Rhinolophus ferrumequinum: one gene and its partners. The protein of the gene in region 1 interacts with the protein of each later gene in a biochemical or structural test. Links are inferred from orthologs where the notes say so. Each region holds a gene or a part of one and is shown in the gene's direction. Other genes may lie near its edges.

The links.
Region 2: the proteins of TNKS (region 1) and RNF146 form a complex in vitro, tested with the Homo sapiens proteins (3 studies listed by BioGRID and IntAct, with this or other methods). The link is inferred for Rhinolophus ferrumequinum from reciprocal best matches to the Homo sapiens genes TNKS and RNF146.
Region 3: the proteins of TNKS (region 1) and TNKS1BP1 form a complex in vitro, tested with the Homo sapiens proteins (2 studies listed by BioGRID). The link is inferred for Rhinolophus ferrumequinum from reciprocal best matches to the Homo sapiens genes TNKS and TNKS1BP1.

Annotation. Positions count from the first base shown.
Region 1 is NC_046287.1:68,250,228-68,260,612, reverse strand, and holds the start of TNKS (poly [ADP-ribose] polymerase tankyrase-1), read left to right. Parts: upstream 1-6,228; 5' UTR 6,229-6,259; coding exon 6,260-6,932; intron 6,933-10,385.
Region 2 is NC_046286.1:75,587,466-75,597,259, forward strand, and holds the start of RNF146 (E3 ubiquitin-protein ligase RNF146), read left to right. Parts: upstream 1-5,124; 5' UTR 5,125-5,237; intron 5,238-5,274; exon of another isoform or gene 5,275-5,406; intron 5,407-7,357; exon of another isoform or gene 7,358-7,383; intron 7,384-9,794. UniProt on the Homo sapiens protein: E3 ubiquitin-protein ligase that specifically binds poly-ADP-ribosylated (PARsylated) proteins and mediates their ubiquitination and subsequent degradation. May regulate many important biological processes, such as cell survival and DNA damage response.
Region 3 is NC_046294.1:11,762,944-11,773,209, forward strand, and holds the start of TNKS1BP1 (182 kDa tankyrase-1-binding protein), read left to right. Parts: upstream 1-5,821; 5' UTR 5,822-5,975; intron 5,976-8,452; exon of another isoform or gene 8,453-8,590; intron 8,591-8,905; 5' UTR 8,906-8,920; coding exon 8,921-9,014; intron 9,015-10,075; coding exon 10,076-10,266. Other genes in the region: FACT complex subunit SSRP1, read left to right, coding at 215-287, 718-856, 976-1,021, 2,438-2,567, 2,991-3,161, 3,314-3,402, 3,917-4,103, 4,375-4,446.

The DNA of each region.
Region 1 (10,385 bases):
GTGATGTCTTGTGGAAGACAAAGGCAATCAAGATCTCTGACACTAAATGATCACATGAGGCCAGGAAGCTGATAGACCCCTGAAGTAGGACAGTGTTAACCCCATTACAGTTCTCTGACTGAATATGATGCTTTGTCTTGTCCTTCTCCTTCCATGTTGTAAACTAACCCAAGGCTGCCCATTAGGGCAGGCCTCTCTCTGCTCTTTATACAAGGAGTGGTTGAGCATTCTCATTGCAGTAGGCTGAATAATGCCCTCCTGCCCCAAATATTTCTACATCCTCGATCCAGAACCCACGAATGTTACCTTATATGGCAAAAGGGACTTTGTAGATGTGATTAAGTTAAGGATTTTGAGATGGGGAGATTTGTCTTGGATTATCTGAGTGAGTCAGATGTAATAACCCAGATGTAATGGTTCTTTTAAGAGTGAAGCAAGAGGAGTCAGAACCAGATAAAAGGTGCTGTAATGATCAAGCAGAGATTGGAGTGATGTACTTTGAAGATGGAGGGAGAGCTCACAAGTCAAGGATGATAGGCAGCTGCTAGAAGCTGAAAAAGTCAAGTAAACAGATACTCTCCTCACAGCCCCCTGAAGAAACCAGCACTATTGACACCTTGACTTTATCCCAGTGAAACTGATTGTAAACTTCTCACCTCAGAATGCTAAGAGAATAAATTTGTGTTGTTTTAAACTACTAAATTTGTGGTAATTTTGAATAGACTCACTAGGAAACGAATATACTCTGCTTAGGGCTTTGAGGTCAGCCTGGGCTGGGAACTGTGATTGTGGAAAGTGAGGAGGACATATGTGTGACTTCCCAGAATCCATTCTTCCTCTTCCCATTAAACATTAGCCACGTCACTTGGGGAATTGATCCCTGGAGTGGGTCATGATCAGTTCAAGCCCAACTCCCTTAGAGTTGGTTGATTTGGAAATACAAGCCCAAGTCAGTCAGTGCATGGAGTTCTCCTGGCAACAGCAATTAATTTAGAAACGAGCACGTGACCCAATTTGGGCCAAGGAGATGCAGGGAGAAACAGAAAATCTCCCTTTGTTTGTTTTCTATTTCACTGAGAAAGTAGAAGCAATCAAGAGTCTTTCTCAATCTTGCACCACGATATATAGTCATTTATTGCATCTATGCCCACATACTCTGTCTTTTTCCTTGATACGAAGGATGAACAGTTAGTGATTGTCCTTTAGATCGCAACGCTGTCACCTACCTAAGAACACATTGCCCCAGTCATGTTCCTTTCTCTCCTGCATCATGAAATTTCCCTCTTTCTATTACATTCTTATCAGCACAAAAATATACTTTCATTTTTCCCATTGAATGTACTCTGTGATAGTGATACTGCTGCTGTTTGAAGCTAGGATCTCACTGTTTGAGACATGGGGTCATGGCCTCCTTGTACGCTTACCCAGGGCTGGGCTACACACTGCTTTGTGTTCCCAGCGTATCCTGTATGCACTGCCCTTGGAGCACTCACAACATTGTGTTGACATTATCTGTCTATGAATCTATCTTTCCCACTAGACCACAAACACTCAACATTTAGGACCAGGTTTAATTCATTTGGGGAATCTCTACATGGTATGGCACCTGGCACACAGAAAATATGCCTCTGCCTATAGGGACCAGGTCCTTAACTGAGTAAAGCCGGATAGATATAAATTAGCAAAAGGAATGGTGGCAATTCCAAGTGGCAGCAACTGTGGGACTTTAGTCTATTGCCATGTGGAAACCTAGGCTGGGGGGTGGGGGCTTCATGCCATCTCAGTTTCCAAAGAAGTCCTCTATTAATTTTCTATTGCTGCTGTATCATAAATTTCATAGCTTAAAAATAACACAAATTTAATATTTTACAGTTTTGCAGTCATAAATCTGGCATGGGTCTCATTGGCCTCAAACCAAGATGTTGGCAGGGCTGCATTCCTTTCCAGGGCTTTGAGGGAAAATCTGTTTCCTTACTTTTTTCACCTGCTAGAGGCTGTCCATTTCTTGGCTTGTGGTTCCCTTCCCTCATCTTCAACGCCAGCAATGGCTGCGTCTTCCTCACATGGTATCAGTGCAATCTCCTTTTCTGTCTCCATTTTTTCCTTTTAGGAACACCTGTGATTCCATGAGACCCACCCACATAACCCAGTTAAATCTCCCTATTTTAAGTTCAGTTGATTAGCAACCTTAATTCTATCCACAAGCTTAAATCTATTTTTCCATGGAAGGTAACATAGTCACAGAGTCCTGGGATTAAAACATGGATATCTTTCGGGTGTCATTATTTGGCCTACAAGCTCCAAATATGGATATTAAAATTTCTTTTGGATTGCTCTATTATATTTCCTCCATTATAGTGCCTTTCATTTGTTGGGTTTGCTTTTTTCCTTATGTTTTTGGCCCTCCTCACATATGTGGTGATTTATGGTGGTAAGCTCATCTTCCGTGGGAGATTTCTTCTGCAAACATCCTGGGTCCCAGGGACCTGAGGAACTACGGCAGAGTTTGGTTTCTCTTGAGGTGGTCTTGGCAGCTGTGCTGGTCTCCCACACAAAAGCCACAGTGGTTTCTCAACACTGTGGTATTGCAGAATCTTTTGAGGGATAAACTTGCATACTTCCGGGCTGAGGTGTCCTCCTTTGCAGACTCTCCACCTCCCCCACACCCTGATACAACCAGAAGGGACAATTTGCATTTCACCAAATATAAGAGGCCCTTTCAGTTTCCAAGCTTGATAGACATTCCTTTATGGCACTGTAACGCAAAAGAAGTAGGTACGAGAGGTTGGACGTCAACATTACTGGGTGAAAACAAACCTGCTTGTTATTGGGCAGGCAGGCAAAACTAGTCATGTCTCCCAGGTAACCTATTCACATCTCATACCAGAGGCCTTCCCCAGTTCTCAGCAATAGCAACAGCTAACAGTTACATAGCATTTATCATGTGCCAGAAACTGTTCTAAGCACTTGGCACATATTAACTCATTTATGTCTCACAACTCTTAATATCCCCACCTTGCTGATGGGTTTACAGAAAGGTTCAATGACTTCTAGATTACTCACTGTGTTTTCTGAGTAACACCATCAAAACAAAGACAAGATATGAAGGAGTAGGCAAAACCAAGAGAAATTGCACACAAACACCACTTAGCTCAGATTTCACTCGTTTATTTCCTTCAAGCCAAACAACTGCAAGAAAGCAAGAGAAGACAGTAGGTAGAAGGCACACACTATGTGTTCAGGTATTGACTGGTACCTCTCACTGCTTGGCTGCCACTTATTCCCATCCCAGCCAGTAAGTCCGGTGGTCTCTGCTCGCAGAAGTCCTTGCTCCAATTTTCACCAGGGGTAAGAGTTTTCCTATGGTCAGTATGTGGTAGTACATGACCCCTCAGGCAGTCTTGGGGTTCAACATTCATCATGGCTTGGGAAACTTAATAGATCTGAGATACTACCAGTGAACTTGGATCTGGGGCAGATCCAAGTTATACTTCTCCAATGAGAAGTATATGGATGGAATAAACACACCAAGTCTAACTGAAATTTGGAGACTGCGCAAGCTTATGATTGTGTAACTTAGAAAGTGTGTCCATATGATCCCCATGGGGGAAAAAAATAAAACATCACAGCACAGTCCAGGTGAGTGAATACCCTTTGAGTTGGTGGCTCTTTCTTTTGTGTCAACAATATGACTTAAGAGAGTGCTATGCGCTCACATTTTTATACCACTTGGACATGATTTTTCTGAAAACATTTTTGAAAATGGTAAGAAACTACAAAAGTATGATCCTCAACAAGTCTTGGAGATATTGGCTTGTATAGAATCTTGAATTTTCAGATGAGGAGACAATTAAACCTGATCTTTCTTTGCTTAAGATTTGTGTGACATGTAAAATGGTGGATATTTATTCCCAGTCACTATCTTTTTCATAAATGAAGTTGTGAGGCGATAGCTATCAATAGTGACTATGAGTTCCTATTAAAACTTTATGTATGCCACATAAGAGAATGAAAATAACATTCAGGGAGTGCTTAGAAAACACCTAGGTCTTTTAATCCTCATGACAATAAAAACAGAATTTTAGAGTAACAGAGCTGAAGCATACCTACCAAGATTAGCCAGCTAGTAATCTTCACAGATGATTCCAACCCAGGTTTGTTTGACTCTACACTTTGCTTTCCTCACTGGGGTATAGTTCATTCCTCAGGGAATTGTATTTTGCTGTAAAAGATTAGGTAATGATATATGCCCTTTTGTGTTTAGAGCTCAATATTAGTTGTTATAAATCTAAACGTTATAAATACTTAATGTTAAGTACCTTTACTTCTTTCACTGGAGGGGATAAAAGAAATTTCCAATTGATCGAATGTATTTTTAGGCAGTTTACCAGTCAGTAGAGCTGTTTCAGGCAATTCAACCTTTTCTCTCCAGCAGAAATTTTCTTATTTACTTTATACTGACAAACAGACATACTAGACACACTTTAAATTAGGGCGAACATTACTACTTTTTATTGTGTTCTATGAGTAATTGATCTATATCAGTAATTGGCCAACAGGGGATCAGGTGAGATAGTCCTTATGTCTTCCATTCAGGGAGAAAAGGCCATAGTCAAGGGGGCAGAAAGAGTTATTGATGTCTAATGTATTACATTGATTCACCCCCACTTCTCAATGCTATCCTATGCTGTGCATTAATTTAAGATTCAAAACCAGGAGAATGTGTGTTGTGGACAGATTTTAGTTTCACTGATGGTTTTCCTATCCAGTCACACATTTGTCAATTTGTGAACAATGGCACACATTTATGAAACAGATGGATAATGTTAGTTATAATCTATAACTCTAGATTAGATGAGAATGTCACTCATAATATTAATTATGTTCCTGACATTGTTGTATGTCAATGGTAGTCCTAAATAAATTTACCTCTTCAATTAGATGGGAATATTAACACCACACTAATTATATTTAATAGCATGTAAAAAAATTTATCACCTGGATTAATATTCTGCAATGCTAAACTTCTACTTGACCCACCTAAATCTTGGTGGGTTTTTTTCTTGAAACAGAATCTCCATCTGGGTCCACTCTATTGGAATAATGTTGTTTGTCTAAAGTTCCACAAGCCTAGTTTACGACTGGATAGGAGGCCGGAAATGAAGACCTTAGTGAGATTATCCCATGCAATGTACATCTCTTTTGATGGCAGACAAAAGGAAGTAGGTACAGGCAAAGGAAAGAGAAAAAGTAGTTGCTTTAGAGTGGCATCTGAAGATGAGTGATAGATAACAGACAGGTTTTTACCTTAGTTTGGGAGGGGGAGGGAAGAGGGGTGAAAGGAATGGAGGAGAGGAGAGGTTCAGCCTAAAAGAATTAAAAAGAAAGGAATACATTCACAATTATTTGAGTTGAGTTTAAGGTGAGAAATAAAAATACATAGGTTATAGAAAAATCATAATTTTAATAGATAATATATTTTTTTAACTATTAATTGGATTTTGCTGAGGGGAACCTGAGAGACAGAGTGGTTCAACAGCTTGCCCAAATTTAACAGCTAGTACCTGGCAGAGCTTGAATTCCAGTCCTGGTAATCTGAACCACATTTTAGAATGGAGTACTAACAAAGTACATAGAGTGAGAAAATTTAGAAATAAGAGATATAGAGACCAAGGGAATAACTGGGGAAGGGTGGGGGAAGGACTTCATGGGAAAAAATTACCAATGGGATAATTATAGTTACGTTTGATTAACGACAAGAGCACTTTGTATATGTTAGCTCATTTAATCCCGCTAACAATTCTGTGAGGTTGATCCTATTCCCTTTTTCAGTCGAGGACACTTGTTAGATGAAAAACGACACATTCTCTTCTTGTACTGAGTTACACCTGAATAGCAGGCTCTGGGGCAAGATAAGGAAGACTGAAGGAGATTTAGCAACAGAACTGAGTAGGGCTAGGTAAGTAAGCTGAAAGGGAGAGAGGCAAGGAAAGTTTCCCATTTAGGCACAGGCTGGTTCACCTTTCAAATCTCCCGGGCGGGCCCGCCAAAGCGTCACAAAGCCCGCCCCTCAGTCACAAGGCCACGCCCCCTTCCCGTGGCTGTTCTCTGAGTTCCCAATACTTCCCTCCTTCTCTTTGACCCCTCCCACTCCACTAGCATCATTTCCTGTGCGCTGGATGTTAATTGGTCCAGCAGTCGGAAGTGAGGGCGGGGGGTGGGGCCGTTGCCGCAGTGACAGTGCTGGGGGAGTCCGAAGATGGCGGCGTCGCGTCGCTCTCAGCATCATCACCACCATCATCAACAACAGCTCCAGCCCGCCCCAGGGGCTTCGGCGCCGCCGCCGCCACCTCCCCCACCACTCAGCCCCGGCCTGGCCCCCGGGACCACCCCAGCCTCCCCCACGGCGGGTGGCCTGGTCCCCTTCGCCTCCCCGCGGCACGGCCTAGCGCTGCCGGAGGGGGATGGCAGTCGGGATCCGCCCGACAGGCCCCGATCCCCGGACCCGGTTGACAGTACCAGCTGTTGCAATACCACCAGCACAATCTGTACTGTCACCACCGCTCCCGTGGTCCCGGCGGTTTCTGCTTCGTCTGCCGTTGGGGTCGCTCCCAACCCAGCCGGCGGTAGTAGTAACAATTCACCGTCGTCCTCTTCTTCCCCGACTTCTTCCTCATCTTCCTCTCCATCCTCCCCTGGATCGAGCTTGGCGGAGAGCCCCGAGGCGGCCGGAGTTAGCACCACAGCAACACTGGGGCCTGGGGCAGCGGGACCTGGGCAAGGGGTTCCAGCAGTGAGCGGGGCCCTACGAGAACTGTTGGAAGCCTGTCGCAATGGGGACGTGTCCCGGGTAAAGAGGCTGGTGGACGCGGCAAACGTGAATGCTAAGGACATGGCCGGCCGGAAGTCTTCTCCCCTGCACTTCGCTGCAGGTCAGTGACTTTTGAATTATTTATTAAGGGTTTCGGCGTTGGGGACAGGGGTCCCGGCAGGGAAAGAAAAGTTATTGTAATGGAACAAAATGTGGGCGTGGTTATGGTTCTTTAACACCTCGCCGGAAGACTAGATAGAGGTTCCTTTCTTAGATAGTGCCTGGTGACCCGGGTGGGTGGGGTGGGATGGGGGGGCGTGGTAGGGGAATGTGGGGATCCATCTGTGATACTTGTACTCATTCCCACCCAAATCCCTTTAGTTGGAGTCTCGGCATATGGGTGTACTTAAACTTTTTCAGCTCCAAGTGTGTAAGAATAAAGTTAGATTTGGGCAGTCTTAGAGAGTAGTTTTGCTGTTTGTTTGCTCCTTTATTTCGTTTTTACGATCAGGATATGTCCCATGAGGACGGTCTAGACCACAAGAAATTGAATGTAACTCAAATGTTTAAGGATCTGTAGCAGTCTCTAAGCCAGTGAAAGACATGAGTGAAGTTTGTGAGTTTTCCCTTTTTTCAAGGAGTTTACATTCTTCACTGGGTAGATCAAAATATGCCTCTATGAAATAACTGGAGAAGAATATTTGGATGCATGATGTGGTAGTAGAAAAATATAGGCTTTGAAGTTCAGGACACTGGTATTTGTTAGTTGTTTAACAGACAGTTTACCTCATGTCAGTTGCCTCAGTTTTCCCATGGCAAAAATTATGTTACTAAGGTTGTGTGAGGGTTTACTGAGAAGCATTTGGCACATAAGTTCTCCCAAAAAGTGCTAATTCCTAAACCCTGATTTAGTCACGCATTTGGCACATAAGTTCTCCAAGTGCTAATTCCTAAATCCTGGAGCACACACTTTTTTTTAAAGCCAGTCATTGACTATTTTATTTTAAAAACACCTAATATGTTTTTATAAAATACAGAAATAGGAAACAAAAACAAAGGACATGATCTCACTGCCAGGATAGCTACTGTTGATGTTTCTTAAAGGTTATAATGTTATGTACATCAGAAACATTACATTAGAAACGTACATGTTATATATACATTATAAAATTCATATAGGACAAAAATATACAAAATGTAAAAGCACCACCCACACACAAACATCCCAGATAACAAGCAGAAGTTACCTTCTGTTAAGTTTCTTGGTATGTTTCTAATATACATCATGCCTTTAATTTGTTAAAACATATGTTAAGAACTTACTCTGTGTATTATTCATTTTTGCCACAACTTGGAAGATACTATCCCAGGGGTGTCCAAACTGTGGCCCGCAGGCCAACTGTGGCCCACAATCCATTGCTAATTGGCCCGCAGCAAATTCCAAAAATATATTTAGTTGACTTAAATAAACCAGGTGAGGCAATACATACTTCACCTCGAGTGAGTGGCCCGGCTGTTTGTGTATTTTACCGCATATGGCCCTTGGTGAAAAACGGTGAAAAAAGTTTGGACACCCCTGTACTATCCTCATTTTATAGGTGACAACAGTGAAACACATACTCTTAAAATAAATCCAAATTCATAGAAGTAGTGAAACCTGTATTTTAACTCAAAATAGTTTGATTTTAGAGCTTGTGAAATCAAGCTTAAGCTATTATAACCTATACCTGTGTTAATGTCACTTTTCATTTTTATAATTGTGATGGAGAGTTTCTACTTGGGGGCATATACTCCAAGAGTAGCATTCACACTTTTTTTTTGTTGTTTGCTTTTTTAATTGCAGTCTATACTTAGAAACATATTTTACATTGTCACATACACGTCAAACTGAATCAAAAAAAATTTCAGGAAACAATACTTTCCCTCATTACATACGTGTATGTTGCATTCTGATATTTATATCCTATTCCATTTCATTTTTTACAAATGCTGTTTGTGACTCCTTAATGGCTCATGATCAGCAATATGTGAAATACAGGAAATCATTTGTTAGATCACTGGATCCATTCTTTTTTTTATTACATTTACTGGGGTGACATTATTTAGTAAAATTATATAGGTTTCAAGTGTACATTTCTATAATACATTATCTATATATTGTATTGTGTGTTGACTACTCAGAGTCAGTTCTCCTTCCATCACCATGTATTTGACCTCCTTTCCCCTCTGGATCCATTCTTGAAGTTGTTTATTTTTGCATACTTTTCCAAAGTTGACTATTTTAACATACCGTGTTTCCCCCAAAATAAGATCAGGTCTTATTTTAAGGTTTGCTCCAAAAGATGCATTAGGGCTTATGTTCAGGGGATATCATCCTGAAAAATCATGCTAGGGCTTATTTTCTGGTTAGGTCTTATTTTTAGGGAAACACGGTATTGTTTCACAAATCTTGTTATTCCTCAGCATACTGCATTGTAAGCAATCACAAATGATAGTTATACTTATTTGTGTAATAATGTACTTATGTATGATTAGCCACACATAAAATAGACTTGTTTCCCAAATCACTTCTTCTGTCACAATAGTTACTTTTTATTCTGTTTTAAAGTTTTATGTGTACCCAGATAAGCTAGAAGACAAACAGTCCTATAATTACACTGTAGTTATGAGAACCAAACCTTGAACTGGTTTATGTAGAAAAAATTTTTTTACTTCATTTCTGGAAAACAGACAAAACAAACACAGTATAAAACTCTCCATGGTGTAAAAACATAGTAACACCCTGTAGTCAGTTTACCATACCCTACATTTGTGTCCATAGAGTTAAAGCTTTGTTAAGTCTAGTCTTCTCCACCATGGATAGGCTGCATAGTTAAAAGTAATTCTCAGTTGATTATCAGTTGGTTAGAATGCCAGTCATTCAGTTGTCCTGGAATAGCTGTTTTAAAGATAGGAAATTGGTACAATCCCTTGGAGGGAAAAGCTTAAAATTTCTAGTTCAGTTTTCCACAAACATTTTATTACTTATTGTAGATCAGGTGTTAAAAATATTGACACAATTTTGAAATGACAGCTAGTCATTACCATTATGGAGCTTACAGTCTAGTGCGGAAGACTAAACAAGAACAATAATAACAAAACCCCTCAAAGTGTGTAACTCAGAGTGATAGGAAAAGTACTGCATGCTGTCTGTTGGAGCAGGTAATAGGGACTCTTGTACTGATTTTAGAACATAAGGAAGTCTTTGTAGATAAAGAGAGTTTTTAAGCAGAGATTTAAAAGATGAGTCCAAGCTAGCCAAATGGAGATTGAAAGGAAGAATGTCAATTCATGCCTGTATTTCCATTAAGAAAATGAGTTTGCAGTCGAGTGTGTGGAATGAAATGAAACCATTTTTATAGGAAACTCTTGTGACTTTTAAAAATATTATCGTAAGAGTAACCATAATTCTTTCCAGCAGCACAATTAAGAACCTTTCTATCCCATTTTGGACTGTGATAATTATCTGTTTAAATATGGCTTAGAGACAATATTAATAATGGAATCGCCCCATCCACAATTAGGAACATAATCT
Region 2 (9,794 bases), on another chromosome or scaffold:
ATAATTCCATAAATAAACAACCAAAAGCCCAAATATGCATAATTACAAAACTGTTTCACATTGATTTGTTAAATTCCAACCACTTTGAGGAAAATGTGGCATTGAAAACACGCTTGCTGCCTCTACGACTGTAAGTTATTTCCTTTATGTAATAATAGGGTACACTGTTTAAGTGTCATTTTTATTAAAATAATAACCTAGCTTTAAAATAACAAATGATTCTGTCAAAAAAATAAAATAGAACGTTCATTCTTATTTTTCAATACTACACTCAATGAGGTCATATCACACAATGAAACAAGCATGGACTTTGTAGATAAACTAATAGCTAATATTGTCAATATAAGACATCTGAAAACCAATATATATATCATGCATATATACAACCAGAGTTAGGAAAGACATGCTTAACTCTACAACTAAATTGTAAAACTGACTCATAACTGTTTTGTGTTGAGCTATTTCCCAGGCATACAATTGTTATAATTTAGTTGTAACTTCTGGGGCTGCAGTAAGAACACTGAGAACTAGTCAGAGCATTAATTATCACATTAGGTAAAGGAAAAACTGTCTACTATACTGTTATTTACAAAGGAATTCTACTAGAAAAGTATGTATTATTTGATTACTGTAAGTAGAACACCGCCAAATGGTACAAGAGACCAAGGTATGTATCAGCTCTTGGAGCAAGCTCTTCAACTGAAATGGAAAAGTTTGCTTTCCAAAACTTCCCCTTGGCTTTTTCTATTCATCTGCTAGCTATAATGACTGGCACATTCCTGAATCTGGTTTGTTCTGTTTCCAGACATATGAGAAAGTTGTGTCCACAGTTATCAGATGATTGCTGGCATGTGGGAAGAAATCTAGCTTAGGGTTGGTACACAAAATAGCCCCAGACCAGTGTTCTCAAACTTTTTGGTCTTGGGACCCCTTATACTCTTAAAGATTACAGAAGACTCAAAAGAACTGTTATATAATATGAGTGTTAATCTATCAATAGTTACCAAATTAGAAACTAAACTGAGAACTGTTTAAAATATTTATTAACTCATTTTTAAATAATAAGCCCATTAAGCGTTAACATAAGTGTTTGCTGAAAAATAACTATTTTCCAAAACAAACTTAACTGAGTGAGAAAAACGACATTATTTTATGCTTTGCAAATCTCTTTAATGCCTGGCTTAAGAAACATAGGCAAATTCTAATATCTGCATCTACATTCAATATGTTTCTACATCACATATCATGTAGCCTTAGGTAAACTCCACTGTATGCTGGAGAGAGAGAATGAGAGTGTATTAGGCAGCTAGCATCTTAATAGTATTATTGAAATAATCTTCACGTCTGGGACCCTCTGAAAGGATCTCAAGGACCCCAGAGAACACTAGAAAACATTTTGAAAAGCACTGCCCTAGATGACATGTATCAATGGTTTTCAGTACATTTTCCACTATACCACGTATGATTTTCTCATGCACATTTTCATGGATGTCTCCAGATATTAACAAAACAAAAAGAATATTTTGATCATTAAGCAAAATAAATAACATCAAACATTTTTGAGTGTTGAGAGAATACAGAGAAAAGGGGTGCCTGGAGATAGATGTGTGGTATTCATGAAAGCATTTTATACACTTGCGGGAAACAGACATTAGGTTATGAAAGATGAGCAATTCCTAGCAGTCTGTTGCAACTCCTTTATCTTTGATTCAGTGAAGCAAAATAGAATGCCAGTGACAGTAACATTATTACAGACATACCTTAAATTTTTTAGGCTCTGATTTCTTTAAGTAAATCATTTGAAAGTTTGGGCATTTTAAAAATTATTGAAACCAATTACTTTAAAAACACTTCTGACAATGTTGAGAAGTGCTGTCCTATATTATTCATAGATAAAAACTCATCAGTATCTTTCAGGTGGCTGGCGGAGGTGGGGTGCATACTACTGCATATATAACAAGAAGTTATATATGCAGTAGTATGCCTTGACACATAACAAGAAGTTTTTCTTCATTTATATATTATTTGGTATATAAATGTGTGTGCACATATTCAGAGGGAGCTTGTCTAAATGTGTCAGGCGCTATTCTTGGCAGTTGGGATACAAAATAGAATACAAATCCCTGCCCTTGAGTGATTTGTGTTCTAGTGTAGAGAGATATATAAGATGAATAAGCAAACTAAATGATCCCTTACATTTCGATAAGTATTAGAGAGAAAAAGTAAAGGGAGGAATAAGAAATATCTGGACTAGGAGAGGTCATAATTTAAAATAGGGTGGCAAGTAGAGGACTGAGAGAAAAGATGACTTTTGAGCACAAACAGAGGGAGGAAGCCATGATGGCGAAGAAAGTTCTAAGCACAGGAAACTGCAAAAACTGAGGTTGAGACCTTGTGTAGAGTGTTCTTGGATCACTAAGCTGAGTGAGCAGTTTGTGAGGTCAAGGAGGTAATAAGGGGAGTCTTAAAGCTATTAAGGACTTTGGTTTTTACTTTGTTTTGGGAAGCCATGGGAGACTTTGAGTAGAGGGGTCGTGTAATCTGACTTCCTTTTTAATAAGTTTACTTTGGCCTCTGTATTGGGAATAAACTCAAAGGAAAGGGAGGACAGAAGCAAGACAACCAGGCTTTGGGCTATGGCAATAATCCAAACAAGAGATGCTGTTGTTTGTAATAGAGGTGGTCAATAGTTAGATTCTGGGTGTGTTTTGAAGGAAGAGCCAACAGATTATTTGCAAAATGGATACTGGACATAAACAAAAGGAATTAAAAATGGGTTTGGATAAGGAAAGATGGAGCTATTTATTGAAATGACCACGATTATGGGTGTGGCTGAGAGGGTTGGAAGCCTGGTAGGGCATTTTAGTGGGATTCCTGTTGATTAATTCATTTCTTGCTTTCAGATGGATAGGTAGATAAACATAATCTAAATTATATTATTTTAGTGAAACTTCTAAAATACGTGCCTAGAACAACTGAAGAACTGTGAATAACTTTTCCTAAATTAAAAGTATTTATGGATCAGGAAGCATACCTGTGTTCTGATCCCGGTTCTATCTTCAACAAGAAAAGATTATAAGCAAGTCATTTAATTTGTTATACCTATTTATTAATTGATAAAATGAAGAATTGAACAAGGTGAATTCTTACAGTCCCTGTCTGGATTTAAATCCCAGCTGAGCCTATTTCTGTAAAATGGGAATAACAACAGTACCTACCTCACTGTTTATTATGAGCTCATACATGTAAAGCACTTAAAACAATGCCTTGCACATTGTTAGTTAATAGTAGTATTATCTCGTAGAGCTGGAATCTTCAAGTACGTATCAAATTTTTGGTAGTATCTTCATGGGGTGTGTAAGATAGTGGGGTAAAACTGGATGGCTAAGGAGAGCATAAAGATAGGGGATTAAGTTTAAAGATGGGGAATATATGGTTCAATATTTAAAGAATTTATAAATATTTATTCAATATTTATATAATTGAATAATTATTCAATATTTAAAGAATTTAAAGAATTTTATACCACATTTAAAGAATTTATAAAAATGTTGCTTTTACTTACCTGAGTAAAATCATCACTGAGCTAGATAGCATTCTTCAAAAATTGGTTACATTTATATGTGTGTGTACACACACACACACACACACACACACAGACATGAAGGGTCTGACAATTAAGTCCGAGAATTTGTTGCAATGATGTTGCAAACCTTTTTTGATACCAGAGGGATTATTCATTATGAATTCATACAAACTGGACAGTTAACCAAGTTTACTATTTGGAAGTGCTGAAAAGGCTGCGTGAAAAAGTCAGACGACCTAAACTTTTCACCAACAATTCAAGGCTCTTGCATCTCGACAATGCACCAGGTCACATGGCGCTGTCTGTGAGGGAGATTTTAGCAAGTAGACAAATAACTGCATTGGAACACCTCTGACCCCCAATGACTTCTTTCTTTACCCAAAGATAAAGGAAATATTTAAAGAAAGACATTTTGATGACATTCAGGACATCAAGGGTAATAGGACGACAACTCTGATGGGCATTCCAGAAAAAGAGTTCCAAAATTGCTTTGAAGGGTGGATTATGCCCTGGTGTCACTGGGCATAACTTCCCAAGGGGAGTACTTTAAAGATGACCGTAGTGATATTCAGCAATGAGGAATGCAGCACTTTTTCTAGGATGAGTTTGAGAACTTAATTGTCTGACCTAGTACATCTCTCTCTCTATATATATATATATAGACACACACACACACACACACACACACACACACGTTGATTTCAGAGGAATAAAAGAAAATGTACACATTTCTATATATAAGAACACTGAAACCTTCCAGCCTTGAATAAACAGTTAATGAGATCTCAAATGCAATAGCATTGCCAGTAAAAAGATACTGGCCTGGAATGTTGAAATTTACTCACATATACTCTTTTAAAAGACAAAAGCGTGCTTTTCCGCCCTGTTCATTTTACAACAAATGAAGAAAATACAGTCAGTTTCGAAAAAGATAATGTATATGCTGAAATGAAATGGAGGATACTGCCTAGATTTTGATGTTTAAAACCACAGGCATGCAACAAAATAAGCCATTTTCTTTAGTTTTAGATTCTTATACTGATTAATCTCTTCCTCCAGCTTCCTATGCCTAAGACAAATGGCCCAAAACAAAAATTAAGATTCTTTTTTTTTTTTCGATTGAATTACTCAACCATCCAGACGGTGAATAAACTGGAACGTCCTAGAGGACCTTTTTTTGAAAGAGAACAAGGAGTACTTCGCCAAGAGCTCTTCAACCCCAAATCCAGCTAGGTCTGGAAGCTGGGTTTCTGAGCAGCCCCATCTGCTGGTCCTGTGCGTGTCTTACTTCCTTGGCCCCAAATCTCTTTCTCTCTCTGTGGGACCCGTACTTTCAGTCTTTATACCCAGTTACAACTAAAGCAAAATATAAAGCAGTTAGAAGAATCCAGGTAACGAAACTATAGCTCCCCAAAGGCAGGAAAAGGCAGGCAACCGGCACCACGATTTAACGGCAGCGAGCGGGAGGGGAAGAGTGGGTAGGGAGGGGCTAGCGAGAGCTCCCGGGTGCGCGGTGCTGCTTCCGCCCCGCGCGGCCCCGCCCCCGCGACACGACGGGCGGTCACGTGACGGCCGCGCGCGTCCCCGGCCGCTGCGGGTTCCGAGGCCGACGAGAAAAGACTGCGAGGCCACCGCGGCTGTGGCCAGAGAGGTGGGAGTCGGGGCGAAGCCCTCGCGGGGGGCAGGGTGGAAGTCAGTCACTCCTGGTTCCTGACTCGGGAAGAGGAGCGATGGCCCTCGGTGTCACCTCCTGCCACAACGCGCTCCGGGTCAGCCCTGCGTTCTGGGCCTGAGAGGGGCGGCGGCGGGGCCAGGGGCCGGTACGTTGGTGGACGCCCTTGGGCCTGCCCGGCCGCGGTTGTCCGCCCCGGGGCGGGATGGGATGGGACCGCTCAGCCCTTCCCGCCGCCCCCACTGTGGCTGGTGTCGCAGGCAAGAAGACTGTGACGGGCTCTGCGTTGCCGGCTACCGCCGCAGCCCCTGTCCTGGGCGACGGCCCGGAGCTGGTCACGGTCAGGGTGCGAGAGGCGGAGCAGCGGCCATTACTGCGCAGCCTCTTCCGCCGGGGTCCTCGTCGCTACCTTTGGTGGCAGCCAGATCCATCTCTTCTCCTCTCGGCCGTGGTGTCAGGCCTCTACCCGGGAACCTTCTGGCCTCAACACTTAGGGGCGGCGATGGTTTTGGGGGGTATCCTGCTTCCTATTTCCCTTGTGGAGGCCTCTATCCGGGCCTTGGTTTAAATCTCATCCAGGGTGTACAGTCCCTGCATTTTGTCTTTTTCCGGAGTGTCTTTGACTGCTTCTTTCTCTTCCTTCTCCCCTACGCCCTGCTCAGGGTCTGGGTCTTGCCTTATACGAAGAGTAGTTCCACCACTTGGTCTTAGTTAAACCCTGCGCTGCGTATCAGAGTCGTTTTGATGGTTATTAAAGCATCCGAACAATTAAGAGATCTCTAAATACCCTTTGAGCCTCCAACACCCCAGCGCATCTTAAAGCCGAGGCTGTTGCTTTGTTCTTCTGGTTGTTGGGTGCGCAGTTCTCTCCCTACCCCTCATCCCGTCGGAAAGAGTACGGGTCTTCCATTGTTGTTGCTATTTTATTTTCCACCGGCGTCTAGAGAAACGGTGCAAAATTGTTTTGAGTTGACACACACATTCTGGCAACTAGATTTTTTTTCCCCCTGTATTACCCGTTTTCGTATATATTTTTATTTCTTTTCCCAAGTACTATTTTAGTGAGTATTTATTTCTTAAGTTTCGATGGTATACCTACATTTTGTTTAAGTAATATTTTTGAATTGTTGAAACGAATTGAGGGGAGAAGAAGCCAAGAAATGATAGAAAACGCTTTGTCTTTGTATGATTGACATTTCAGGCTCTTCCCCCACCCCATGTTCTTACTTTGTAAATAGTATGTGAAAGTATAACATTGGCATTGAAAGCAGTATATAATTAGAGAAATTGGAAGACTTTTTTTTAAAAAAAAAATAAATCTATATTTAGATTTTTAAAAGACTGTGGTATCTAGGACGCATGAAGAAAATGACCCCACACACAGGATTTATGATACCGGCTTTGATGTTTTTGTGACCAGCAAATACCGTTTGTGATAAGTGCCTGGATGTTTTAAAAACACATGAAAATAGGTCAGGTAAATCTCATTTTAAAGAGAAAACCAGAAGAGTGAAAGCCACTCTAGAAATAGATTTTGAATATGTTTGTTTTAGCTGTGTATATCTTAAATTGGGACATTTTGTTAAGCCCGATTATTGATTTAGAATTTATGTTTCAAATGAGCCAATGTGAGTTGTGGGCAAAATGAAAATAATGGTAGACATTTTTAGGTTTTTTTGTTATTTACTGGTTGTTAAGAAAAAATTGGATAGAATTATAATCATCAGGAAAACTATATTTCCAAAGAGCTGGTCATTAGACAAGAGGAAGGAAAAAAATGGTGTTTTTTCTTTGAGGAGACATTTGTCAACTGGTAAAATATTTTGTTTCAGTTTACACCAACTTGAATTGTAAGAAGAATTGGGCAGATTTTTTTTTTTAAAGGATCCAAAAACCATCTGACTTAGAAGAAAAAGGAAGTATTACATTTTTTCACAATATTGATCTGTTTAGACAATATTATTTTATGTATTAGCCATTTACTATCATGAAATGTCTGATACACTGTCAGTTGGATATTTTAATGCTTTTTTTTTTCCAGTGTTAGTAACAAGCTGCTGAGCCTTTTCCTGGCTTCTGATTGTGCCTAAGGAACCAACTGGATGGATTAGGAACAATTTTGTGGGTATGGAAACCACCTTACTAACGTTCTGCTGCAACCACTTGTGCTTATTTATGGACTACTTAGTGTATATTACCTTTTGGGTTAATTAAAACAAAACCTGTTGTTAAATGACTGTTAATTAAAATATTTATAATTTAGAATTATAGAAGTGTAGAATAGGGTGAAAGAACTAAGACGTGAATGGGAGTTATGACTTGACCGAGGTCACGCAGATAATTATCAGCAGAGCCTTTCTTATTTACGAAATGACTGCAGACTATGAAACTTGTGTTTGATATGATTAAAAGATTATATTTGTTCACATTCACATTTCATGTTTTGTTAAACTAAAATGCAAAGCCCACAATTTTGGGGGCGAAATTTAAAGGTTTAATGCTTGAGTATGAAGATTATGAAGGCCATAGATTGCCATCCAGTAATGTCTTTTAAGGGAAGTGCTTGCTATACAGTAAGGGGAATAATTATTTAAAATAAAGCATTGGACCCCATTTAGTTGAAATGAGTTTTTATGGAAGGCTTTTGTTTCCCAGTATGCCCTGTGCTTTCTAAGTGGAATTTTAACAGGGCATGAGAAGGAAAGCTAAAAATGAAAACATTAGGGCATTTACTTACATTACAGCTCTCAATTTGGGACTCTTTCTTAAGAAATACTAAAATGTATCTGCTAAATTACAGCCAATCTCTCTATTCTTTCTTTTACCAGCCATTGCTTTTATTTTGGGAGGTGTTTGTATATCAAAAGTTGTAAGGTTTGACGTATTTTTCTTGTCTGTCTCTGATAGCTTTTATATAGAACATTTCTTGTTTTGTGTATTTTGAATAAATAAAGAGTAAAAACTACTTTATTAAACATTAGCTGTTAATAATTGGAACAAGATAAGAAGTCTTCAAATCTCTCTAATTTGATATTTTAACTGTTACATGCTTATATTTTTCTTAGTTGGTCCTTTAAAAAGATATTTATTTGAATCTATCTGGAAAAAAACAACTTGTTTTTGACCTTGTGACTTACTTGAAAAGTAGAATTGTAATTAATACTAGATATTTTCAGAGAAAGTATTGCAAACAGTAGGAGTGTGGATTTGTTGAGTGGTCACAAATTTTAAATAGTACAATATTACTTCATTTTCAGTTATACTTGGTTGAGTGGGTAAATGATTTAAATTCACTGATAATAATCTAAACTCACGTATTTCTAAATTTAGTCTGTCACTTTTTTTTTTCTTAAGAATTGTTAAGGGAGAGAAATATCTAATTTAGTTTCAAATCTTTACTCTTTTTATGTTTCTTATGTTACCTTCCTAATAGTTTATTTCTGTATAAATTTGCACCTAAAGAGGGAACCTTAACCCACTAATTGATATTTGCATGTCAAGATATTGTGTAAATTTTACTGTAGTGATTCATAAATTGTATTGAGTTTGGTGTGTAATTTACAAATCATTCATTGCAACAGGAATTATGTATGTTTGAATTATTTATGTTTGCCAAATTAATTCTGGCCTGTAGTTAGAATTACACTATTCTATTTTTGGTTGAAAGTAAAAGCCTCTCCCTCCCTCCATTAAAAAAAAAATCGTTGGTTTCAAATGTAGAAGTTTTCTGCGGGCTACTTCACATACTCGTTCTGAATTACTACATGCCATGTCCTGTGTTGTGCCCATTTGGTACTGTAGTTCTCAATGGTTATATAGTTAACGGATCAGTTGGCAGAATTGGGACCACCTAAACCTGTCAATTTTGATCACAACAGAATATGCAATTTTCTTTTTTATCTCTGCCAGCAAAGGTATGGGAAAAGTAACATGGAGTTCATTTTCTTTATTCAAAGAGTCTTGTTGTAAATTGCCATTTTTGTGTTAAAAAGTAATTGTTAATATGCAAGACATTCTAAACCTGTACTGCCCTGTATAGTAGCCAGTAACCACAGGGAGCTATTGAGCACTTGATATGTGGCTAGTCTGAACTGAGTTGATCTATAAGTGTAAAATGCACACTGGATTTGAAAGAGTGTACACACACACATATATAAAAATGTAAAATATCACAATAATTTTATTATGTTGAATACATATGGAAATGGTATGAAAATATTAGGTTAAATAAAATGTTTTTAAAATTAATTTTACCTGTTTCTTTTTATTGTTCATAATGTGGCTAACAGAAAATTTGAATTTACATATGTGGCTTACATCATATTTCTATTAGATATTGATGTTCTAGACCTTTTCTCTGAGATACCATACGTTGAAGAAAAGATTTTTTTTTAAAAGATGCTTGAGTTTGAATCCCATTTCCCAATATTGATAGCTTTGTTATTTTGGGTTCAATTCTTGTGGGCTTGGGTTTCCTCATTTATGAAATGGGTGTAGTCATACTTCACAGGGTTGTTTTGAGGATTCAGTGATATG
Region 3 (10,266 bases), on another chromosome or scaffold:
TCTTGAGAGCCATGCAGGTCCGTCTTTCAAGAGTAGTGTCTGACTCTTTACTGCTGTTCTCCGAGAGTGTCTTTGAGCTGTTGGGGTGGATAATGTGGTCAAGAGCTCCAGGCCCCACAGTCTGTCCCAGCCCATGGGTGTCAGAACAACGTGTGGTCTGTCCTCCCTTTGGTGGCCCTGCCTGTCTGGTAACACGGTGCGTCTCCCCCCACAGGGAGGAGTATGGGAAGCTGTTTGATTTTGTCAACGCAAAAAAACTCAACATCAAAAACCGGGGATTGAAAGAGGTACCTCTGTGTGTGGAAAGGATGAGCCTCTGCCGGTCCTTCTGTAGTGGGGAAAGGGGCAGGGATTATTTCCAGCTTTTTCATTCTCTCTTCTCTTCTTACCCTTATAGAAAAAAGAGGTGCGTGTGACCTTTACCCCCTCCTGGTACAGGTTTCCTCAGCATGACCTTAGCTCAGTTTCTGCAGTCCCTGAGAAGCCCCCAGTGGGGCTGGGAGAGGGAGGGAGGGGCTTGGACTAACCCAGTTGGCAGGAAGTGGTCGGGCGAAGGCCCTGCACGTTGGCTGTGTGTGGACAATCCAGCCCCAGGTCTTCTGGGAGTTGCTGCTCTGATGTGAACTCACAGGCTTGGGGCAGTGCTCCCGAGCGTGCAGGGAGGGGTACTGGCAGCAGGGCCAGTCGGCCCTCACTGTCCTCTCCCCTGGCGGCCAGGGCATGAACCCAAGCTACGACGAATATGCCGACTCGGATGAAGATCAGCATGATGCCTACTTGGAGCGGATGAAGGAGGAGGGCAAGATCCGGGAAGAGAACGCCAATGACAGCAGCGATGACTCAGGAGAGGAAACCGGTGGGCTCGCCTCGGCCGTGCCCGGGCATGGGGTGGTCAGACGGTCCAGGTCTGGGTATCTGGGTGAGGGGGCAGGGTTTCCATGGCACACAACTGATGCCTTCTGTGTCGTTTTCCAGATGAGTCGTTTAACCCAGGTGAAGAGGAGGAAGACTTGGCAGAGGAGTGAGTTTTGGTTCCACCTTATGGGGGTGACGTGATGGCCTCTGAGCTTAAAGGACCAGAGATTTCTGGACATCTTTTGTGTCCCAGCATTACTACTGACCCAGGGTGGAAAAGTGACCTCCAGTGAGGTGATAGATGGAAATGCTTCAAAAATCAAATCGTCAAGCACTTTGTAAGTGCACGGCATGTTGTGAAGCCAGAGAAGTATAGTGGGGAGAGACTGGGGATGAGAGCCACTGCCCCACTTAACTTGCCGGAGTCCTTGGGTCCATCATTGAATCTCAGCGTTTTCAACTGTAAAACGACAATAGTGCCCCCGTGCTGTGTTGATCAAGACTCTTGATAGCCAGTGTCAGAAATAGGACTTGAACGGACTGTAGCTTAAAAGGGGATTTTGTAGGCTCATGTAACGAGAGTCCAGGGGTGTGACTGGCTTCAGGCACCTGGATCAGGCACTCAGCAGCTGTGGGGAATCTTTCTCTTTCTTCTGATTTCCCTATTTTCTGGTAGGTTTGCCCCATGCAGTGCCAGATGACCCTCAGAAGCTCTGGGCAGGCTTAATCCTACTCGTTTAACACCCAGGAATGCTTCTGCGCTCAGAGCAGCAGTAAGCAGCGTGGTTACGTGGCCCTTCCCAAGTGTGAGTTATGACGATACGCTCTGAGGGGCTAGAACTAGGCCGTGTGCCCACGGCCTGTGGTGGGGTTGGCCCCTTCTGCATGGGGCGTGGTGGTTCCCAACAGAAAGTTGGGACTCTGAATCCAGAAGAACTCAGAATGAATGTTGGGCAGGAAAAAGAAGAAAATCTATAGGAGTCCACTACTTCTGGGCGCCACGTGCTTGTTCATAGTGAGTCTGTGAGTTAAAGGCTTATGAAAGGGAGAACCATTGAGCACCGTGTGGTTTGGGCAGTTCTGTTTTCTGAGGAGTCCTGTGTGTGTCCGGTAGGACTGTGACAACATCAGTGCAGGCTGGGTTGGAGTGGAGTTGGTTTTTTCCCACTTTTTATAGTAACTGTCTCTTGATCAGAGAGACTAAGGGTAGAGTAAGAGGAGTAACCCGGAGTCGTGAGGTGGACTTGGACATGTTGCTGAGACCGTTTCTGTCCCCGTTCCCGGGAGCATGGGGATGGAGGAGGCCTTGGGTTAGGCTGTGACCAAGGGGAGCAGATGAAGTCTGTTTGCTTTTCTTTGACTGATTGACCAAATAACCCATTGCTATAGCTGGGTCTGGAGAGGGCATGGTTGAAGCCACCTCAGCGAAGGGCAGGAAGAGTTGGGGATGCTGGTGGAGGCGGCCCTGTGGTCCTCCCGCCCCCATTTCTGGGTGGGTGTCTTTGGACTCCTTTCCTGCTTTGAGACCATGGGGTGCCATCCTCTGTCCCTGAGTGAGTCTAAGCCCCACTCTCCTTGGCAGGTTTGATAGCAACGCCTCTGCCAGCTCCTCCAGTAATGAGGGTGACAGTGACCGAGATGAGAAGAAACGGAAACAGCTTAAAAAGGCCAAGATAGCCAAGGATCGCAAGAGCCGCAAGAAGCCTGTGGAGGTGCTGCTTCTCCTGAATGGGAGGGTGCTGGGGTGCTGCTCCCTGTTCTCCCGTCCACCACCCTTAGGGCCTGTGGGTTGGGGCTGCTTTTTGTAGCCAGTGATTAGGGCCTTGAGGAGTAGCTTCTTGCAAATATTTCTCTCTAGTCCTTGAGATAATTAGCTTCTGGGAGTTCTGACCTAGGAGACGGGCTTCTTTTGTCCTGGGAGCCCAAAAGAAAGGGGCCCCTAATGAGCTAGGTACTGGCGTGCAGAGGGGAGGAAGACGTGGTCCCTGCCCTTAGGGAGCTCCTAGGCAGCTTGATGCAGTTTAGTCCTTGCTCTGTTTTGTCCCTAGGTAGGGGATCCAAGTAATTTCTTTGGGAGAATGTGAGGGAGAATGTGGGCTATAGTGCTGAAGGCCTTTGGGTTCTTTCTTGTGTAGGTAAAGAAGGGCAAAGACCCCAATGCCCCCAAGAGGCCCATGTCTGCCTACATGCTGTGGCTCAACGCCAGCCGAGAGAAGATCAAGTCAGACCATCCGGGCATCAGCATCACGGATCTTTCCAAGAAAGCAGGCGAGATCTGGAAGGGGATGTCCAAAGAGAAGAAGGAGGTGAGTACCAGCAGAGACGAGGGGTGGTAAATCTTGTAACTGGTAGAGGGGGTGGAGGGCCCTGGTGGAACTTCTGTATAGGTTTTGCCTGTGTCAGGGAACAATCTAATTCTTCTCTTCCCCACCCCCCGACCCCTGTGTGTGTGGGACAGGAGTGGGATCGCAAGGCTGAGGATGCCAGGAGGGAATATGAAAAAGCCATGAAAGAATATGAAGGGGGCCGGGGTGAGTCTTCTAAGAGGTGAGTGTTGGGAACAGAATGTCCCAGTAACTGCTTTTTTGACAGATATTTTTTGCAGGTCCAAGTTGAGAACTGGGAAGTTAAATATAACAGAGATGCTTCTGACTTCAGTAGGACAGTGCTTCTCAAACCTGGGTAGGCAGTTGCCCAGTATGGGTACTGTGCTAGAGAGTTTCTGAAGTCGCTGGATAAATATGGCCCATTTTCCTAGAGGGTCAATTTTATTTGAAGGTACGGGGTAGCTAAAAATATATATGTTACTATGGTGCCTAATTCATACGAATTTTTACGATAAAGCAAGAGATGTCAAGTTAAGTTTTGCATATAACCAGGCTGTGAGGCCTGATTCTTCTTGTTCTTCACTTATGATGCTCTCTCTTGGGGCACTTGGGCTGACATGGCTGGCTGATGACACGAGATGGGCAGTGTGGCTGGGACTGGGAAAGGCCCTGGTAAAGCTGGGGGAGGTTTGACCTTGATGATGGGGAAACCTTTTCCCTCTTGCTAATAATAGGGACAAGTCAAAGAAGAAGAAAAAAGTAAAGGCAAAGATGGAAAAGAAGTCAGTGCCCTCTAGGGGCTCGTCATCCAAGTCGTCGTCAAGGCAGCTGAGTGAGAGTTTCAAGAGCAAAGAGTTTGTGTCCAGTGACGAGAGCTCTTCAGGAGAGAACAAGAGCAAAAAGAAGAGAAGGCAGAGTGAGGTGTGGCAGGAGTTTGGGGGTTGTGGGGCTTGGAAGGGTGAAGGGCATCTGAATTGGTATGGGGGGTGGCAGCAGGTGCTTCTGCACCAGGGATTGTGGTTGGTCCATAGCAGTAATGGGATGGAATGGATAGGTGGAATTCTGGGGTTCTGAAGACTAGTGTTGGACGTTAGGGAACGGTAGGGAATTAGGGGCCCTTCACCACTGACAAGTGGCTGGGAGGGCAGCCGGGACTCTCCACCTTTCCCCTAAAGAGACGTTTCATTTTCAGGACTCTGAAGAAGAGGAATTAGCCAGTACTCCCCCCAGCTCAGAAGACTCGCCGTCAGGATCTGATGAGTAGAGAGGAGGAAAACACTCTCTCCTTGGGCTTGCCCTGTCCCACCCGACTCCCCACTCATGTTTTGGTACCAGTTTCTCATATGAAGTGTAGTCTTTGGATTCTGTGCCATCTGAACAAGCTCTTCTGGTGGTGTGCACTTGGCTGGGACAGCAGGGGAGGCGTCTTCCTGGGTTGCTGCTTCACGAAGATGCCTCTTCATAACTGGGGGAGAGATTGGGTGGGAGGCAGGGCAGTGCAGGTTCCAAATCCTCGCCCTACTTTCCCGACCTTAGGGATATAGCTGCTGCTTGTCCTGTTCAAGTTGCTGCAGCTGGGGTCGTGTGAGGTCAGGCCTGTAGCTCCTAACGGGGGCCAATTTCTACTTTAATTTTGTATTTCTGGTTCTGTGAAAATCATTTAATAAAGGGAACTGACTTTGGAAACCATGTCCTTATGCCTCCTCTCTAGCCCTGTTGTATTGCGCCCACTTTTCTTGGTGGTGTTTACCACACTGCTGTGACTGGGCAGGCCTTGCTGGCCAGCTGGGAAGCAAGTCTCCAGGTACATCCTGTTCTGTTCCCGGCTGGACAAGCATTGGTTTTCACCCTCTTCAGCAGGGATGGGCCACCTGAGAGTCTAGAAATGAGAGCTGATCTGATTAGGAAGTCTCTCTCACAGCTCCACTCCATTAGCCAAGCTAAGGAGAGGCAGCTACTGGCTCCATCCTTAATCACCTATGAGTCAAGGGTCTTCAAGGCTTTAGATAATGGAATCAGGATTGACTGGCCTCTCTGCAACCAAGACACTGGAAACCTGATCCTGGAGAGTTGGGACGATGAGTGGTGTGGGGGTGGAGGTAGCTTTTGTTTTTATATGAAAAAGGGTATATCAAATTTTGAGGTCAGGAAGAATTTATATCTGGGAAGGGAGCATAACGAGATAAATAAGGAGTAGTGAGGGAAATAGAGCTTCCAGTCTTCCTCACTGTGGCTCCAAATCTGAATTTACACACGTGGGGTGGCCACGTTGGGTAGGCTCTAAGGTGCTTGCCACAGAAAGCCTCCGCAGTCGGCCAAGGGTTACCTTCTTTCTCGCCGCGACTCTATGGTACTGCGATCAGTTCAGGCCGTTGGGCCTGAGAATCGGGCCGTCAGCTTAAGTCTCCTCTCTAGGCAGTCGTCTCGGTGGCCATTTTGCCCCAGCGTTTTTAGCGGCTGAATTGCGTCAGTTTTACCCGGGTCTGAGGCTGGGGCGGGCCCCTCATTTGCAAGATTCATGAATAATTGAGTACCTGGGCTGCTGCTATTTGCATACGGTCAGGCGAGTTCTGCACGGGCTTCCCACTCCGGGTTTTCACTGTCTCATGGATATTCATGAAGCGCCCTAGGGGTGTGGGCCTGGGCGGAGCTGGGGCGGAGCTGAGGGCGGGGCCCCGCCGGGGCCCGCTCTGGCTTGGTCCCCGGTGACGGCGGCAGCAGCGGCGGCGGTGGCGGAGACTGGCGTCGGGGTGCCGAGCCCGAGCCGAGCGGAGCCGGATCCCGGGGGAGCGCGTGAGTGCGCGGGGGCGGGCAGGAGGGCGAAGGAGGGGGCGGGGTCCGGGATTGGGGCGGGGGAGAAGCATGGAGGGAGTGGGTGCTTTTCAGCCGGGACCTCGGGTTAAGGTGGAAGGGGGGTGAACGGGAAAGTTTGCAGGGGCCGGGGGCGCGGGGGAAACCGGGGACACGCGGGAGCTGGCGCATGTGCGCGAGGCCGGAAGGTGCACGGTCTGGAGCTCGTGCTGGCCGATCCAGAAGAAAGGGGGGAGGGGGCGAGGGCTTGAGGCGGGGCCGGGGGCGGGCGGAACTGCTGGAGGGACCCCTGCCTCCCCCTTCCCCAGGGCCCGCGCTAGCCCCCTCCCTCGGCTCCCTCGGCACGCCCCCAGCCACCCCAGTCCGCCCCCACTCGGTCTGCGTCCTCAGTCCCCCGTCTGTTCGCCGGCTGCTTCACATTCTGCGTACAGGTCCTCCCGTTCTGCCACCCCCTTCTCCTCCTCCACCCTCTCCTCCTCTTCTTCGGCTGCTGCCATCCCCTCTGTGTCCAGAGCTCCCCACTGGGCCTCTCCAGAAGGCCCCTCGCCCCAGGCTGTTCCGTCTTCCCGTTGGCCCTCCCTCTTCCAGCAGTTTACGTGCTGCCCCTGCCTACCTCTCTGGCCCTGGATCCGCTGGAGATCCCAGGGACCGTAGAGGCGACCCCGCCTGCGCGGATGCCTCTCGGGGCCCCTGTCCCGGGCAGGAGCTGCCTGGCCTCTCCGCAGCCCTTGTGGCAGCCTTTGCTCCTGGGGGTCAGATAGGCCCCCCCTGACTCCTGGAGGTTGCAGGGAGTGCTCAGAGCCGCTGTGATTCTGCAGCTTTTGGCAACGGCCTTGATCACCTGCGTTTCCTGGCTGGGGCCTCGGAGCTGCTGTGGCCCCTCCTCAGTTGGGGAAGCTGAGCCCCCACTTCATTGCTGCACCCCCTCATACTGCAGAGGTGCCCATCAGGCTCCCAGGTGAAAGAGTTTTTCAGTTCTGGGCCAGTTTGTCCGCATTTCTAACCACCTACACCATGTCCCTTGTGATAATGTTCAAGGACAAGGAAACAATCTTGTGTTTTAATTTTATTTTTTCTATCATGTGCCCTTCCCCCATGCACTCTTGGGCTGGCTGTGCAGTTAGTTACTTACCCACCCACAGTGAGCAGTCCTCTGTGGAAGGTGGTTGACCAAGGGAATTGATGGTCCTGGGTTTCTCTCTACTTAGCTCTTCATACTCTCTGCCATCTTTGAAGCAACTTGGGGCAGGGTCAGAGGAGAGGGGTGGGCGAGTTTTGCAAATGTTGGGCATCAGAAGGCCTTTCTTAGGAGTTGGTGCTGTTTTCCCAGACCAGCTGCAGTGGGTGACTTTGAGGAAGGCAGTGCCCATTGGGTTGTCCTCAAGGGCTCTGTGCATACCAGGTGATAGGAAATGTCCTTCTTCCTTTGTGACAAGAGGGGCAGTACTTTGTCCCCCAGGCTGCAAAGCCTGGGGTGCGGGTGTTGTGGGTGGGATGGTGCTCCAGCAGCCAGGATGAGAACTAAGGAGGTGGTGGAGTGTCTGAAGGTGACATAACTGGGACCTGTGTGAGTGAGGGAATGGTCTGGGGAGAGGAGGTGGTGGTTACCAAGGATTTTAGCTCATTGGTGACACCGAATGGAATTGTACTAATAATTGCCAATATTTATTGGGCACTTATTATGTGCTGGGCGTTATGCTAAGCAGTTTGCATGCATCAACTGCCATAAACCTCCCAACAGTCTCAGTAACTCCATTTGTCACATAGGGAAACTGAGGCTTGGAGAAGTAAGTGCTGTGCCTAAGGGCACACAGCTAGAAAGTGGTAGACCTACCCAATATTGAATCCTCGCATATCAGAACCTGAAGCTTGTTCCTGGTACTGGCTTATTCGGTTTCTACCATAGGGCTGTGTCACTTGGTTTAAAATTTCTTGTGCTCCCTCAAAACTCCTCAGGCCAACCCTAGGCTGGTGAAGGCTGCCCATAGGCTGTGGCTGTCCCATCCTCACTGTCCTAGAAGGGGGAACCCCGGAGTGTTTTCCCCCAAGCCACCCCACTCCCGGATGTTCTCAAGCCTCAAGCCTTGTCCCATTCTCCCAGCCCAGGCCTGGGCCGGCTCCTCCTTCCTCTTGGCTCCGCTCTGGAAATCCAGTGGGAGGCCATTGCTATGGCAACAGGACTAGGCCCTGGCTTTACCTCATCAAATTCCAAGCTGAAGCCAAAGCGATTGAGAAATTAAAGAAAAAAATGTATTCCAGATGTTTACTTCTTATTCCTTATTTTTCCGTGTTTGGATGAGACAGCTCTGAGGGAAGCGGGAGTTGGGCAGGGATATGGAAGGAGGAGGGGGGAGGGGGGAAGAGGGAAAGAGGGAACCACTCCCAGCTGCAGGAGGGAGGGAGGGAGGGAGGGAAGGAGGGTGAGCGGAAAGGGGGAGGCTGGCAGTGGGGCGGAGCCCCAGGTTGGGGAGGAGCGGGTTTTTCCCGTCTCCCATGAGGTGATTCACTGAAAGACTAAGACTTTGGGGCCCTCTTGCTCTGCCCCTGAGTATATACCTCAGGTGGGGCTGCTGGACCCAAGGGGTACCCTGGGAACGGTAAGTGGGGTATCTTAGCTCACCAGAGGAGGAAAGAATAGGTAGCTACCTGAAACTTCAGGACTTTGGGGTTCGGGGGCCAGAGCTGGAGAGGAATCTGGGAAGAGTTGAGGATATGGCAGCTGGGGACCTCCCTCGACCTCCCTCATCCCCTCTGAAGTTCCCTCTTCCTGTCCCACACTCTGCCTCAGCTAGGAGTAGGAGACTTCCCTCGACCACGCTTACTGCCAGCGCCCAACTCTCTTGCCTTTTCCTCTCTCTCTTCCTGGGCTTAGACCCCAGCTCACACTCCTCTGCTTCTCAATTCTCATGCAGGTTCTGCCACATGTGATGAAAGTGTCTGCTCTCCGGGAAGGCACAGCCATGGCTTCCCCACCACCCCAGGAGATGGAGGAGGAGCTGGTATCTGCTGGCCCTGAGCCAGGTGCCTATGGGTGCAGGGTGGAGCAGGGTGGCTGGGAGGACGGTGGGAGGGGCAGAGGTTGAACCCCCATTCTGTCTTGAAGGGGGTGGGCGAGTGATGACTGTTGAGGTGGGATGGGAGTGAGGGAGGGAAGAGTGTTGAGGACATGCAGGATGAGTTTGAAAGGTTCTCAGTTCCTGGTGAGACTCTTCAGAACTGTTTGAGGTCATAGATCTCTCACAGGTAGGAACAACCTTCCAGATGATGTGGATAAAGGCACCTGTTCTAAGAGGAGGAAATGGGGACCCAGAGGAGATATGCGTGCACGTGGCTGTTTGAACCCAGGCCTCCTGGCTCCTGTCTAGATTCCTTTCTTAGGCTGAGCCAAATGAGTGGGTGATAGAGGATTCTATTAGAAGGGCCGTGGCCATGAGTAATTCCAAGGTCTTTTATTTTGCTTTGGAATGCCTTATATAGAGGTAGGTTTCTGGTCTTGTTTTTTTCCCTGTAGCAGATGTACTTCTGTGTGGATTAGATCAATAGTAAGTTTGCATTCCTGATCACACACCGGATGACAGTGGGAGGTGGCCTGGGTGTGTAGTGGGGGAGGGGCAGCCAGGAGGCACAGTGGGGAGACTCAGCCAGGATAAAAAGCTTACTATGGTGGTAGGATAGTAGAGTGTCATGTAGGAGGACTGGACAGGATTGGGGAGATGGTGGGGTGACTGCTTGATATGGGAAGGTAGGCATTCGTTTATTGGCTCATTTGTCTGTTCATTCATTCGTTTGATAAGAAGTCATGCGAGGTGCAAAGTGGAGTATAAGGAGAAATAAGGTGCCAGCTGGACCCTTAAATAGCTTTAGCTTATAAGGGAGACTGATTAAACATTTTGGGATTGGAGACAGGAGGATGCTTTTGTGATGTGTGTGGAAAATCAAGGAAGACTTCATGGAAGAGGTGACATTTGACTTATGCCTAGAATGAAGTGAACATTTTGAATTTATAGGGGATGGGAGATGAAGTTCTGCTTCCTCATTCTTCTGACAGCCTCCCCTCTCAACCAACCCTTTCCTTTTGGCAGGTGACCCTCGGGCCAAACCCCCTGTCAAGCCCAAACCCCGGGCCCTGCCCACCAAGCCAGCTCTGCCTGCCAAGCCCACCCTGCTGGTGCCTATTGGGCCTCGGCCTCCCCGGGGTCCCTTAGCTGAGCTGCCTTCTGCCCGGAAGATGAACATGCTGGCAGGACCCCAGCCCTATGGTGGCAGCAAGCGT